3 linked regions of the Saccharomyces cerevisiae S288C genome follow. Changing the gene in region 2 together with the main gene of any one other region gives a genetic interaction. Each region holds a gene or a part of one and is shown on either strand. Other genes may lie near its edges.

Region 1 (4,425 bases), on a different chromosome or scaffold from region 2:
GAGGAACATTTGAACGATGACTCCAATCCAACTAGGACCAAATTTACTAAAGAAGAAACTCAAATCTTGGTTGATACTGTAATTAGTGCATTGTTAGTTCTAAAAAAGGATTTACCAGATTTGTACGAGGGTAAAGGTGAAAAAGTTACGGATGAGGATAAGGAAAAATTGCTAGAGAGGTGTGGTGTCACTATTGGATTTCACATTTTGAAAAGAGACGACGCAAAAGAATTAATTAGTGCGATATTTTTTGGCGAATAGTGAGAATCGGTTTATACTAATAGTACAACGGTAATGTTATATAACAGTTTTTACATACGCCATTGTATGTATATATATATATATGCATGATGAGTTATTTAATTGTATACTCAAAGGCCCCCGAAGTGCGAAATTGTTGTAGCTTAGTTTTATTTTATTCCCTTTTCGTCCAAGAAAAGCTACAAAGATGGAGTTGGGTCAACTACTTGCCAGCGAAGGTGGTCTCGCAGTTTCTTATTCTATGTGGATTCTGGAGCAAATAAACGTCTTCTTACTCTCCTTTTTGAGCTATTTTCCGGGGGCTTATTAGTGGGAGTAGAGGTAATATTGGAGGTATTTTTTCTGCCTTCATGCGTATCATCATCCTTGAAATTTAGCGGCGATTCAATGATGCTTTGAAGTTGCGCCTTTTTATTAGGTGTCACAGTTCTTTTTTTCACAGCAGGAGTGGCTTGAACTTGTACGTTTTCCTCAGAGTCTACACGTTCATGTAGGCGTATCGTTTCATTGATATCTTTACGTTTCCCAACTCTGCGAAAAGAGTTATTCATAGTTTTGTATGCATTAATAGTTGAGTGCGAGAAAGGCGTTTTGAGTGTGATAGTTGATGAATTCGGTACTCTTGTTGTGCTTAAGTCAGAGACAGAAAACTGCCGTTTTTGTAAATGATTCATCGTTAGATCAGACTTCGTCCTTCCCAATTGTGAAGGGCGCTTTAAGCTTCTAGTTTCACTTTCGAGAAATTCATTCAAGTTAGAGTTCGTTCTAGAATTCAAAAGTTCAGGGGTGGGCGAAGCTATAGATTTTCTGCTGAACAAATTAGCGTCCACCCTTCTCAATGCGGGTGAAGATGGGACGGAATTAATGATTGAAGAGCGAGAGGCACGTTGACTCGTGGATAACCTGTTATACGTTTCTACAGTATTAGGTGACGATACATTTGTGCTATCGTTGACCTTTTTCAGGGCTCTCTTTGGTCTCATGCTTGGTCCCTTGAGCTTTTGAATTATAAATTCAACGGCGTGTGGTACCTTTTTGTTGAAATATGGAATAAGAACATAATTTATGAACCCAACCAATGAGGCTTCTTTGCTTTTGTCTAGGATATTTTTTTTATGCTCTTGTATTGTTCCATTTGATGCTTCTATGGCATCTGGGTTGGGCGTTTCACTTGATAGTAGAATGTCCAAGATGCATGCTCTATCTAAGTACAAGTCTAACTGTTCACAATAATCCAAAGATGTTGTTATTCTCTCGATTCCTTTGTCTTTTTCGCTGGTTTTTTTCTTCGATCTTCGACGAACTAATCCCTTTTTTGTCAAATTAAGTGATCTTTTCTTCAATTTTAATTTATACTTTTTCTCAAAATCTCTAAAATTCCAATCTAAATCGTTCAATCCTATTATCTCTAATAGCAATAATATTTGTAGCTTTATTTCGCGGGATTTTAATACAACACATAAATCAGCAATGGTTGAGCTGTTTTTGTTTTCATCTTGGATAACAAATTTTGTGAGACAGTTCTTCCTTTTTTCATCTGCTATGGGACTAGAAAAGGGCTCTAATAAAAGCCTGTTATCATGTCTATCTTTGAATTGTACAATTGAGAGAAGAAATTTTTGCAGCATGGCTTGATAGGCTATTTTGTAACTGTCACTTCCGTACTTGGTTCGGCAGGTATTTTTGAGCCTTACTAAATTTGACTTGACGAAATATGCGAGAGGCGTATGTATGGAAAAAAGAGCATCATAATACTTACTTTCTATGTACTCTTTAGGGTCTGAATAGTAGTCATTAATTTTTGATTCGCCTTTCATATCTGGGGGATTCATATCCAGTTTAAGGTCTTTGTCCTTCTCAAGCTTACACGAGCCCTTGGGTTCTTCTGACCATAAATGAAGAAGCTCTTTAAATTTCAATTCGTCCCATGTTTTTAACGTTTCACGCTTAGCTCTTTCTCTTTCAACTGTCGTTACAACTTCCGTACGCCTTTCTGGTAAGCTGTAACCATTGAAATAATTGTACGGCCACTTAACCCAAAATCCTGGCCCATATTCCTCTAGTAGAAAATACTCTTTTCTTGATTTCATGCAGATGTGTTTCAATTGACGTCGATTCTTCTGTTGCAGTAATTGGAGAATGTTACTGGGCACGTCCTCGGATTTAATAATAAGTGGATGATCTAAGCTCAAGTCAAGGCCTTTTGTTGCTTCTTTTACCGATGCTATGACTTCCCATGTTTCCATTATGAGAGGTCAGATCGTTCCTACCTATACGATCTTAACCCTTCAGCAGTTATGAATGAGGCTTCTGCCTGTTTTAACAGTGCCCATCACTTTTTTTTATTTTTCTTAAATGGACCATGTTGTACACCAAGATAGCCGATATTTCAAGGTCGCGTATAATATAACATTTTGCCTAGGATTTTTGTCACCTAGAAATATATATACAGGGAAATCTAAGACATCGAATTATGTGATGAGTAAATAATTTAAAATTTGTAAACTTTGTAAATTCTTTATTAGTAAAATATTATATACCTAATAGTGAGGGACATTTAAGCAGATGAAGAGCATGTTTATTACGCTAAAGATACCTTCACCTAAGACCAACCCCGAACTGAATACAATCATTTTTGTTTTCGCATTTAAGTCACCCCTATGATTCTTCAACCAAAAATGCGAAGCCCACCCGCCGATGAATCTTGCAATTGTAAAACTGGGAGAATTAAATATACCAACACCGACTGCTACACCAGACGGAATATATAATATCCACCCGTATCCGTAATCTCTATAAGTGTTTCTGATTAATGATAAAACGGCAAATATGACTCCGAGAATCATGGAGCACTCCAAGGCCTTATCAGGGAGCCCTTTACCAGTTACTAGTCTTGCACAATCTATCCACACTACTGCTGTCGGTATCCTGAATTGCTCACTCGGAATTGAATAAACTTTATTGTAGCACAAATACATGAAGCTAGACAAAATAATTGACCAACAGGCCCCTATCAATTGGGCACAGAACTGAGCTCTTGGGGAGGCGCCGAGGAGGTGCCCCGTTTTCAAATCCTGCATTAAATCGCCCGCCTGTTGGGCAGAGGCTTCTGCAATACCTCCCGATACCACGTTCATTAACACTGATCCAGGTCTATCCCTTGGTATGATAAAGGCAAAAATCAATTGAGAGATCTTACCAATGCCGCTCACAGGATTCAGATCGGTCTCTCCAAGTGCTCGAATACCGAGAATAGATAGAAACAACGCAAGTATCAAAGCAGTGATAATAGCATATAGGGGAATTACTTGTATCCCAAACAAATATATTATGGAAACAATGCATATTATCGAGGAGACTAGACATCCACTGATAACGGTGGTATAGCGAACCAAATGCTTCGAATCTACTTCTATTTCGTTATCTCTACTCACTAATCTTACGGTGTCCTGCCTTCCATCAACATATGTATTTCTTCTGCTGCTATTAATGGCGCGTTCCTCCTCCAGTAACATAGATTGAAATGTATCATCGATTATGTTGTTCAGTAAAGCAGCTTTGTCATCTATAAGAATAAATTTCACAATGGACTTCACTGTCACAACAATAAAAGCGACTACACTGTCAGCAACCATTATTGAAAGCGACGACCAAAGAATCCATCCTTGCACTCCCTCCTCCCAGTCGTGGACATCAGCATCTGGTGGTACCCATCTTTTGTATCTCGCCAATGGTGCTAACACACCCCAGCCTAAGAAGCACCCGATAAGCATATACGATACTGTTGGAAGACCCATTATTATCCCTTGGCCTATATACGCAGGCGACGGCTGAAAATTCCAGAGATAATTGTTCGAGAGGTATTTTCCGAAGACTGGAATAGACCGTATTACCGGTACAAAATATGACACCATGGTGTAAAGCGAAGAAACAACAAAAGTTTTCAATAAAATAATAATATTCGCTCTGTAGTTCTCAGAGCCAGTAGAAAGGATAGAACTTCCATCTTGGCTAGTTGCCGTATAATCACCAAGTTCGCTATGAGAAGAGTTCATTAAATAATCCGCCTCCTCTGGATCTCTGTTGGGTTGTAGCACTTCAGGGCATTCATTCAATCTCCTCTGCCTCATTTCCAATAACTCTGACTTAGAAACCTCTTGTAAA
Region 2 (6,238 bases):
AGCGAACTTGGTCTTGTCAGCAATGAACTTGTCATCTTCGTGGAAGTAAGATCTTCTTTCGGAGTGACCCAAAATAACCCACTTAGCACCAACATCCTTGATTTGGTCAACGGAGTTTTCACCGGTGAAAGCACCAGAAGCCTTCAAGTAGGCGTTTTGAGCACCGACAGTGACTTGTGGCTTCTTAACCAAAGAGACAGAGTAGTCTAAGTAGGTAGCTGGAGGACAGATAACAACTTCGACATTTTCTGGGATAGAAGCAGTGTTCAATCTTTCAACAATTTCCTTAATGGATTGTTTGGAACCGTTTAATTTAAAGTTACCACCGACAAAGAAAGTTCTAGCCATTTTTAGTTTATGTATGTGTTTTTTGTAGTTATAGATTTAAGCAAGAAAAGAATACAAACAAAAAATTGAAAAAGATTGATTTAGAATTAAAAAGAAAAATATTTACGTAAGAAGGGAAAATAGTAAATGTTGCAAGTTCACTAAACTCCTAAATTATGCTGCCCTTTATATTCCCTGTTACAGCAGCCGAGCCAAAGGTATATAGGCTCCTTTGCATTAGCATGCGTAACAAACCACCTGTCAGTTTCAACCGAGGTGGTATCCGAGAGAATTGTGTGATTGCTTTAATTAATTTCGGAGAATCTCACATGCCACTGAAGATTAAAAACTGGATGCCAGAAAAGGGGTGTCCAGGTGTAACATCAATAGAGGAAGCTGAAAAGTCTTAGAACGGGTAATCTTCCACCAACCTGATGGGTTCCTAGATATAATCTCGAAGGGAATAAGTAGGGTGATACCGCAGAAGTGTCTGAATGTATTAAGGTCCTCACAGTTTAAATCCCGCTCACACTAACGTAGGATTATTATAACTCAAAAAAATGGCATTATTCTAAGTAAGTTAAATATCCGTAATCTTTAAACACTATGTAGTTAGGTCTCCCTCACAATCAGTCCATTTGGGTAGCACGGTCCTCAGGACGTATCTATTGATGGATTCGTCCAGTTCCATCACCATTACGCTCCCGTTAGGAACATTGGTAAACGATTCAAACTCTTCGTATGTCCATCTAAACCATTTCATCAGGAATACTCTGGAATAAATACCATGTGTAACTAGGACAACAACATCTCTGGGTCTTCTCTCTTGCCTATCATGGAAGTGCCTGAATAAAGTCTCTTGGAAACTGGCGACTCTGTCATATACATCTGCCGCACTTTCTCCATGAGGGAATCTGAAGAAGAAATGACCATACGTAGATCTCTTCTTCATAACGTCCTGCATGCTATTGATTTTTTGGAAATTACCAAAATCTTGTTCCCTTATTCTTGGCTCATCCTTAACCCGATATTGCAGATAACATTTTCCAGGCTTCCCTTCACAAATATTATCTTCATTATTTTCGTAAACACCACCAGTATTATTAAGTCCTCTCGGCCAAAATGCATGTTTCTGTTTACCATGTGGATCATATCTCATATCTTCACATATACGAACACCACTGTTTAATTCATTATATTCATCGATGACGTCCAAAATACCTTTCAATGTTTCCCTTGCTCTTCTATAGGGTGATGTATAAAAAACTATGTTTGTGTCTTTTTCTCTACTCAGCCTGGTATAGTCCTTCAGCGGTAAAGTTCTCCTGCTACTTTCATCTTTAATATACTTCTTAGCCAAATCCTCCACCAAGTTGTGATCGTCTACGTTTAAAACACGTAATAAGTCAATACCAGCTTGTCTAGCTTGGATTTGACCTGTTTTCGTTAAAGAAATCAGATGGTTAGGAATATAACCATTGACCTCCTTGTTTTTATTTGATTCGCTTTCCCCATGCCTTATTAGTACAATTAACCTAGGTCTGGCATTCGTAAAAGAACCGTGACTGCCAGCAACATCTTCACTAACATGAACATTCTCTTCACACATTTCTTTTACTAATACTCTGAGTTATTCAAATGGAATGCTGTAGCGTAAGTTCTTTTATGTTGAACCATGAATACGAGCTGCAATTAATGCAGTTGAGAACTAGCTTTTTTTTTTTCATGCCTCTCGGTCTCTGCAGGATATCGGGTAAAAATGAAAACTGGGACATTAACCGCGGTGGGTACTCGATCATTATTTGTTCAGAATGAGTTATGATATGAACGGTAATTAATCTAGATGATAATATATATATGTATATGTATATATATGCAATTGATAATATATGGACGAGTAAATAAGAGTTAAGTCAATAGCAAGAAAGTAACAAGGGTGAATGAGAAAGTGATTCAATAACATTGCCGTTGATAGCTTTTTTGTTCCGAGCAGCAATGGAAACGGAACAATACTATTTTGATTTTATCACTAAAAGCTACTGCACTTTACGTCGTGTCCCTATATTTGAAATCTGAGATTTTCAATTAACGAGTCAATAGCCTCAAAATTTAAATCGTTTTCAGCGAAAGACAAATGCTTCTCAGAAACTATGTGTTGTTCTAAAGATTCGTATTTTACACGACAATTTTCACAGTATCCGGAATTTTTTACCGTTTCTTTCTTCACCGGCTGTGCTGTCTGTGCTGTCTGTGCGTTAAAATGTAAGGTGACGTTTGTGGAAGTTGATTTCTTCGATGCTGTTGGAGATTCTGTGGTTGTTATCTTGATGTCATTATGAACTTTGGAGTCTGCGGAGACTGATTTGGTAGCTACCTTAGGGAAATTCTGGGGCTTTCTATTAGTTTCTAAGTGTACAGCACTATCTTTGCCCGTCTCTTTCGAAGGGGCTTCGTCTTTTTTCAAAGCATTAAAATCTAATCTGTGTCTATTTTCCTTTGATGTTTCAGCAGTAGTTGCTATAGTGGCTGTATAATTTTTGTTATTTCCATTTGTCTGCTTTACTCCCAGCTTTCTATCAACCATTAGTCTACTTAATGACTTCATGTTCTTACTCATGACGCTTGCTCTTGTTGGGCCCAAACCATTGCCAAAAGAGGTTGCCACATCATTAGATTGATGTGCACCACTTGCTTTGATTTCAAATGCCTGACGTGACTTTGTTTTCAAAGTGCACAAATCATCCGGCACTTCTTCAGTTTCTTGCCTTGCAAAAGTAGCTAATACTGGATGGTTTAGTTTTGGTGTGGCAGCCAGCTCTTTTCGCTGTGGGTACTTATTCGATTCTTCTGCTATAGATTGTTTATTTTCTTTTTCTTCTTTCAACGGAGGCTCTTTGGTTTCAGTTTCATTTAATAATATACTATTTTTTTCATCGGTTTGGTCAGCATGTTCATTACGAACATCTTGAACTGCGCTATCATCCGTCTTCTTTAACTCGGTCTTCTCAAAATTTTTTGCCTTTTCTTGCATCCATTTTTTGAAGCTCTTGGTAGAATCGTTGCATGTGTGAGGTATGAATATTAGGTTTTTCGTTTGATCATTAACTGATGACGTATTCAGTAAGGTGTCGGCATGATATTGAAATAGAGCACGAAGTTGCAGTGCATATTTTTTGTTTGCTTTGTCTCTCGAGTATCTCTTTACTACGCGCTTATAAGAACTTTCGTCATAATTCCTATCCCCTATAAAAGGGCATCTTCCGAATGAACCTATTTTCAATATTGGGTAAGGTAGTTCGTCTAAGTTTGTTAGTTCTTGAGGTTTCCATTCCAAAGTTATTATGGGGGCCCAAGTTTGCCATAGGTCATAAAGGTATACATGAGGATATTTAAAGTAGTGAATATCGTCTCTTTTAGTTCTGGGGTCTCTATCCGTTGGTCCATATAATTTTTCATTGTGTAGAAGATTGGACAATGTGGGCGCAGCTAAAGAAGCAGATTTAGTCTTGCTCAAATGATCCAAATCAACATCAAGATTTTTCAGAAATCTGGCAGCCTTTTCGTAACTCCAAACTTTCATGTAGTTTTTTTTAGCTCTCGATAAAATGTCGGTATCTTTTAGTAAATATATGTTCTCAACAGACCTTCTTGTGATAACTATTGTGACAGTAGTGTCAAAAAATTGAGTTATTTGCGCACCCAATGTAAGAAACCCTCTTTTCAATAAATCTCTGCGTTTGTCCATCTTGGACTTATTATATGTATTCATCTCTACATCATCAGTAATGTCAAAGTAAATGCGAGAATCTCTTTTCATTATCTTTTTCCAATTTGTTTGCCATTCCAGCAATTCCTTAGGCGTAACCCTTGGCTCGACATTTTTCAGACCCGTACCTTTGCTGACTTGGACAGCGCCTTCAATAGACCTGGCCCTTTCTATTCTGGCCCTTTTCTTTTCATGCAAATGCTGCTGCTGTTGGAGCTCGAGGCGCTCAAGAGATCTTTTCTTCGGAAAGGATTCAGTGGTATTGTTATTGTTGCAATTATTGTCGTTAGAAAACACATTCAAGTGGCCCGCTGCTGTTGTTGATGCGGCAATTCCATTATTATGTTTCAAGTTGGTATCTGTTTCCTTTAACGGAGACCTTATTATCATTTTCGTTGGAGAAACCATTTTCTTCTTTCTTTTCTAAATATGAACCAAAAGCAGAATTCCAAATGCCTTTCAGATTCAAACCTTGAATTCTGAAGATAACTAGCCCTGCAAGCGAATTCAGATCTAAAGGAATCTACACCTGGCTGAGTATAGACTATGCAACTTGATTTTTGTTTTTCTTGGCCTGAGCCATTACCGTTATTATTATCGTTATTTCTTTATTTTTTTCTTTTTCGCAAAGATCGACCTAAGACGCGTTTGCAAAAAAAAAACCATTTACTTACTGCGGGTAAAATATTAAAAGAAACTTAGGCGTTAGCCAAGAACCGATAAGAAAATAAAAATAAAAAAGGTAATGAGGAATTAGATGCAAAGAGATATAGATATAAACACACACACACAAATATATATTTATATACATATGTATGGTGATATATATTCAAAAAAAAAAAGTACAGTAACTTAGAAACTATTAGTGGGACGGATTTGGTTTTCTTATTTCTTTCTTTTTAAAAAACTTTCTTAATATACACGTTTGTGGTTATAAGGTGGTGTAAAGTAATGTAATGATATACACTTTTTTTCTCAATTCTTTACCTTCTTCTTTCGTACGGTGTACTGCGAGAAGTAAAATGGGATGATGAATTAATTTTTCTAAATTTTTCTTCGACACTTAGTTATTTTCTTCTTCCCCTGTCAATCTCAGATTATCATAGGGAAAAATGTAAAGTGCTTTATCGACAACGTATCGCGTATGTATAAATTGATTCATGTTTTGCGTTTGAGCTGAATATGTTTTGTTAAATTTTGTCTTCTTTCTTACTGTTCTTTTTTATATTTTCTTTGAAACTCTTTCTACATCCTCCACATCTTCACTTTCATCTTCAGCCTTGTGGGGTTGTTTCCTATCCATGACGCTGTCGTTATCTATACTATCGTCGTCATCATCGTCATCATCTTCGAATTCGATTCTTTCGTCATCGTCGTCGTTGTCGTTATAGTTGTAAACGTCATCATCTTCAAAGGGGATATGGTTGTTTCCATCGTCGTAGTCGTCGTCTTGTAAAATGACGGACCCGTTCTCATCGTCGTCCAAATCACTATCATACCAAAAATTATCCGCCATATCCTTATTCGATTCTGGTTCATCTAGTTTACTTTGAGATATGTACGCCGATTCAGAAGTGGGCATTATGAAACCTTTAGGGATATCTTGTTTCGATCTTTCCACTTCCATTTTGACTCTTTGCTTGTATTGTTCAGGGTTCTTTCTGTAATCAACAGCGGCATCGACATTTGCTGGCGAGTTGATATTGGGGTCCTCTAATAGAGATACTATAGAGATCAACACACTTTCCACGGTCTGCACGGGGGACCACGTTTCAGCATCAGGTTCGTCGGTCATAGGATCCCCACTTTGATGTAAAATAGAAATACAAAGCCTGCCATCCCTGTAAACGTTTGGATGGTAGATAGCCGGCGTAAATCGAAACTGTGGTGGAGAAAAGGGAAAGTCTTCCGGAAATCTCATTTGAGCTTTGAAAAACCCTCCATGATAAATGGAATCCTCATTTAGCACCATAACACCTATGTTCCAAGTGAAAATATTTGAATCATCCTCTAGTTCTATATGAAATGAGGGAATAGCTTTCTTAGGATCAGTAAGTTCTCTATATTGCCGTAACAGTAAGCTAGAAGCGGTGCTTTTGCGACTACTCATATTTACGTTGTATTGTTCTTTTTTCCTTGTTTGGT
Region 3 (5,036 bases), on a different chromosome or scaffold from region 2:
TTAGATTTTCTTTTCATACTTTTTGTACTCCTCTCCTTCGAACTCTCCATGTCTTCTGAGTCTGAGTCACTAGAACTATCAGTAGTATTGCCTTCTGATTCATTGTCCTCGTCTGAAGAAGTGTTGAGTTCCTTGCTAGAGAGATCAAGCTTGACGCTAATTTTGTTCTGTTTCAAGTTCAAAGGCAAGTTCAAAAGCTGAGCAATTCTGTTGCCTTTTTTTTGTTCACTTTTAATTAGTTTCTCAATAGTGTTCCAGTCCATTTGTTGATCGATTAGACCCTGAACAGCAAGCTTAACTTCCTCTATTAAGGGTGCATTTTCAATTATGAGATGGCCTTTCCTTTCATTTAGTTCTTGGACGTCTAATAAAGCTTGTATTTTTCTATCATTTTCGGCACGAGCATCATCGATTTTCTTTTGCGCTTGCGATTCCTGATTTTGTATACGTAGAGCATACTTAGAGGATTCTATTGTTGAGAAAAATTTGTCTAGCGTCCTATTGTAAGGACCTTCAACTTCAATGATACAAGAAGAGTCAGTGTCTCCCCCATTTATATATGGCTTAAAGGGATGGAATGTATCATAAATAAATTCCAAATCGGCAGTATCTTTTTCAGAGATATAATTTTCATTTCTTTTGGCCAAAATGTAACCCTTTCTATCGGTGGTAGTTAAAAGTTGATTATATTCTAACTGAGTACTGTTTAGCAATTCGGCGAGTGAGTCTGTTTCCTCCAAAAGATTTAAACAAGACTCTGAAGGGTCGATATTGAATACCTTAAGGTTCTTTGATAATAAATCTGAAGACAAATGAGGGACTTTCGAAAGCAGCAGTTTATGGATGGAAGGTACTTTCACTTTTTTTTTTTTAGCGCCCTCCTTCCCTTGAATGTTAAGTTGCTTAATAACAGTAATGTCTGATTCATACTTGGCTTGAACTGCTTTTATCCACTCGTTGACTAGTTCAGAGGTGTATTCTGCCTTTCTGTTTTTTTCTATGGATTCATCAGCAGACTCGTTATTTGTGGTAAAAAGTGATTCGTCAAACATTTCATAAATTTGTCCGACCTTATTTTCATGCTCTAGAACGACTCTTTGCAAAGCCATAATTCTTCTGTTCTCATCTAGAAGAATGACATTCCCTGCACTGAAAAATTCCAAAACTAAATAGAAGTGGCCATCAGCAAATTGTAGAACAAGAATTCTATCCTGGTCTACTTGCTTTAAAGCTGTTAACCGTTTAGCTTTAAGATGCTTCCTTAGTTTGACAACAAAGCCGGAAGGAGTTGGAGGTATTGGCCTACTAAATTCAGTTAAGTAAATTCTTAAGCCACAATCGACAACAACATTGAGTTTAGAATCTGGTTTATTAAATTTCAGCAAAAATTGTTTTGAGGAATCGGCAATGTTATATATATTACTCAATCGGTAGCCTTCCAAATCCTGTTTCAGCTCTCTAGCCAACAGCAGTAAATCTAGGGCACTAATTCTTTGCTTCATCGCTATTAATCTCTTGCCTGCCTGACTTCTTAGACCGGATAATAAGTAGCAACTTTCTTTTCAATTTGCCATCGGATTCTTTTAAAACTATTTTTCAGGCGAAATTTCATTTTTCTATCCTTCCGCAGCATGAATGAAAAGTTCAAACGCGTCCAAATATACAATAGATATAGTGCATTAGTTAATGTCCGGAAGAGAAGTCGCAATTGTTGAAAAGGTTAAAACTCAGGCTATTTATTGAAAATCCAATTTTAATCGTAACCACAGAGTTGAGGTAGAGGCTCATTTGTTACCTGACAGTTGATGACATTATCACTGACATATTTAAATTCATCATTAGTGTAATCAGCACATGCTAAGTTGAGGGCACTACTGCAACTTCAGTTTGTTTCCTTAAAACCCAAAAGAGTAGAAAACCAGGCTAAAAACAGTCACACTAGTCCAAAAAATGGACAAAAAGGAATATTCGGAGACTTTCTATCATCCTTATAAGCCCTATGATATTCAGGTACAGTTAATGGAAACTGTATACAGAGTGCTATCCGAAGGGAAGAAAATAGCTATCCTGGAAAGCCCCACTGGGACAGGCAAGACGCTGTCCTTAATCTGTGCCACGATGACTTGGTTGAGAATGAATAAAGCAGATATTTTCACCCGCATGGAAACTAACATCAAAACGAATGAAGATGATAGTGAAAACCTAAGCGATGACGAGCCAGACTGGGTTATTGACACTTATCGAAAGTCTGTTTTACAAGAAAAGGTGGATTTGCTAAATGATTATGAGAAGCATTTAAACGAAATTAACACGACCAGTTGTAAGCAGTTGAAAACTATGTGTGATTTAGATAAAGAACATGGAAGATATAAATCAGTTGATCCATTAAGAAAGAAACGCAAAGGCGCTAGGCACCTTGATGTATCACTTGAAGAACAAGATTTTATTCCGCGCCCGTACGAATCAGATTCTGAAAACAATGATACCTCCAAAAGCACAAGAGGAGGAAGAATATCTGATAAAGATTACAAATTGAGTGAACTAAATTCACAAATAATAACACTTTTAGACAAAATTGATGGGAAGGTTTCGAGAGATCCAAACAATGGCGATCGCTTTGACGTTACAAATCAAAATCCAGTGAAAATATATTATGCATCCAGAACTTATTCACAATTAGGTCAATTTACTTCTCAGTTAAGATTACCCTCGTTCCCATCATCCTTTAGGGATAAGGTCCCAGATGAAAAGGTGAAGTACTTACCACTTGCTTCGAAAAAGCAGCTTTGTATTAATCCAAAAGTGATGAAGTGGAAAACATTGGAAGCTATTAATGACGCATGTGCGGACCTTAGACATAGTAAAGAGGGATGTATCTTTTATCAAAATACAAACGAATGGCGTCATTGTCCTGATACGTTAGCTCTCAGAGATATGATTTTTTCAGAAATTCAAGATATTGAAGATTTAGTTCCCCTGGGAAAATCTTTGGGAATTTGTCCCTATTACGCCTCGAGGGAGGCACTTCCTATTGCGGAGGTAGTGACTTTGCCATATCAATACTTACTTTCTGAGTCCACCCGTTCAAGTCTTCAAATAAACCTTGAAAATTCTATAGTAATTATTGATGAGGCTCATAATTTGATAGAAACAATAAATTCTATATATTCCTCTCAGATCTCGTTGGAGGACTTAAAGAATTGCCATAAGGGGATAGTAACTTATTTCAACAAATTTAAGTCCAGGCTCAATCCCGGTAACAGAGTAAATCTATTAAAGCTCAATTCACTTTTGATGACTCTGATTCAATTTATAGTTAAAAATTTCAAGAAGATAGGACAAGAAATAGATCCTAACGATATGTTCACAGGAAGTAACATCGATACCCTAAACATTCATAAACTATTGAGATATATAAAAGTCTCCAAAATTGCTTACAAAATTGACACGTATAACCAGGCACTAAAAGAGGAAGAATCGTCAAAAAATGAAAATCCAATAAAAGAAACGCATAAAAAATCAGTTTCTTCTCAGCCATTACTTTTCAAGGTTTCTCAATTCCTATATTGTTTGACAAATTTGACGTCAGAAGGACAATTTTTTTTTGAGAAAAATTATTCAATAAAGTACATGCTTCTAGAACCAAGTAAACCTTTTGAGTCAATACTAAATCAAGCAAAATGTGTAGTCCTTGCAGGTGGGACAATGGAACCCATGTCAGAGTTTTTGTCGAATTTGCTACCTGAAGTTCCTTCTGAAGACATTACGACCTTGTCGTGCAATCATGTTATACCGAAAGAGAATTTGCAAACTTATATCACAAACCAGCCTGAGCTTGAGTTCACATTCGAAAAAAGAATGTCTCCCTCCCTTGTAAATAATCATCTTTTTCAATTTTTTGTTGATCTGAGCAAAGCAGTTCCTAAAAAGGGTGGTATTGTAGCTTTTTTTCCAAGCTATCAGTATTTGGCGCATGTAATTCAGTGCTGGAAACAGAATGACAGGTTTGCTACATTAAATAACGTGAGGAAAATATTCTATGAAGCAAAAGACGGCGATGATATTCTATCTGGATATTCTGATTCGGTAGCAGAGGGAAGGGGGTCTCTTTTGCTGGCTATTGTTGGGGGAAAATTATCAGAGGGAATAAATTTTCAAGATGATTTATGTAGGGCTGTGGTGATGGTGGGCCTGCCGTTCCCAAATATTTTTAGTGGAGAACTAATAGTTAAAAGGAAGCATTTGGCCGCTAAAATAATGAAGTCAGGCGGAACGGAAGAGGAAGCTTCACGAGCAACAAAGGAGTTTATGGAGAATATTTGTATGAAAGCTGTCAACCAAAGTGTTGGACGTGCTATACGGCATGCAAATGATTACGCAAACATTTACTTGCTCGATGTGCGATATAATAGGCCCAATTTCCGGAAAAAATTGTCACGTTGGGTGCAAGATTCTATCAATTCCGAACATACAACACATCAGGTCATTTCTTCAACACGGAAGTTTTTTTCAATGCGCAGCCTGAATTCACGCTAAAAGGAATACGTTTACGTGTATACTGTGATTACTACTATATATTATAGTAAACTAAACTGATATTTATGACTACTTTTTATATCTGCAAGTAATTCTTTGTCTCTTGTATCCTTACATAACTTCCAGCGTTGTTCCACAATATACGCTTATTTCATTAAATCTTTCTAATAGACCCCTTGTAAACCAACCATAATCATTCAAATCATCTCGTTTTATGTCTATTACCCGTTGTTTGCTCACGGGACATATCTTTACATGCGTTGTAAGTATTGGAAGCAAAGTGACACCACACCTCTTCCACGTGTTATTCGTGGTGGATGTTACAGTTTCAGGGTCAGCCGTGAAGCTTTCTAAATTGAACGTTTCCTCGAGAAAGCTGTTCTTCATCAATAACGTGCCGTTGTAAATTGGCGCTTCTCTTTTAAGTATTGCCGCTATAGATAATACGCAAGCTAAATCAAAACTATTCGTTAATTCGGATTTTTTGTTTATAGCGTATT

Evidence for each region.
Region 1: of DBF4 (region 2) and SLD3, changing one enhances a phenotype caused by changing the other (phenotypic enhancement), as found in Saccharomyces cerevisiae (6 studies listed by BioGRID, with this or other methods).
Region 3: mutations in DBF4 (region 2) and CHL1 together harm fitness more than expected from each alone (negative genetic interaction), as found in Saccharomyces cerevisiae (4 studies listed by BioGRID, with this or other methods).

Annotation. Positions count from the first base shown.
Region 1 is NC_001139.9:294,014-298,438, reverse strand, and holds SLD3 (Sld3p), read right to left. Parts: upstream 2,508-4,425; coding exon 501-2,507; downstream 1-500. Other genes in the region: TATA-binding protein-associated factor TAF6, read left to right, coding at 1-261; YGL114W (uncharacterized protein), read right to left, coding at 2,802-4,425. UniProt on the Saccharomyces cerevisiae protein: Required for loading and maintenance of stable association of CDC45 with chromatin during initiation and elongation of DNA replication. Also involved in temporal regulation of origin firing. Required for the association of PSF1 with origins.
Region 2 is NC_001136.10:556,125-562,362, forward strand, and holds DBF4 (protein serine/threonine kinase activating protein DBF4), read right to left. Parts: upstream 4,502-6,238; coding exon 2,387-4,501; downstream 1-2,386. Other genes in the region: triose-phosphate isomerase TPI1, read right to left, coding at 1-348; acid phosphatase DET1, read right to left, coding at 932-1,936; SCF E2 ubiquitin-protein ligase catalytic subunit CDC34, read right to left, coding at 5,316-6,203. UniProt on the Saccharomyces cerevisiae protein: Regulatory subunit of the CDC7-DBF4 kinase, also called DBF4-dependent kinase (DDK), which is involved in cell cycle regulation of premitotic and premeiotic chromosome replication and in chromosome segregation.
Region 3 is NC_001148.4:537,435-542,470, forward strand, and holds CHL1 (DNA helicase), read left to right. Parts: upstream 1-1,950; coding exon 1,951-4,536; downstream 4,537-5,036. Other genes in the region: RQC2 (Rqc2p), read right to left, coding at 1-1,502; transcription factor TFIIIC subunit TFC8, read right to left, coding at 4,648-5,036.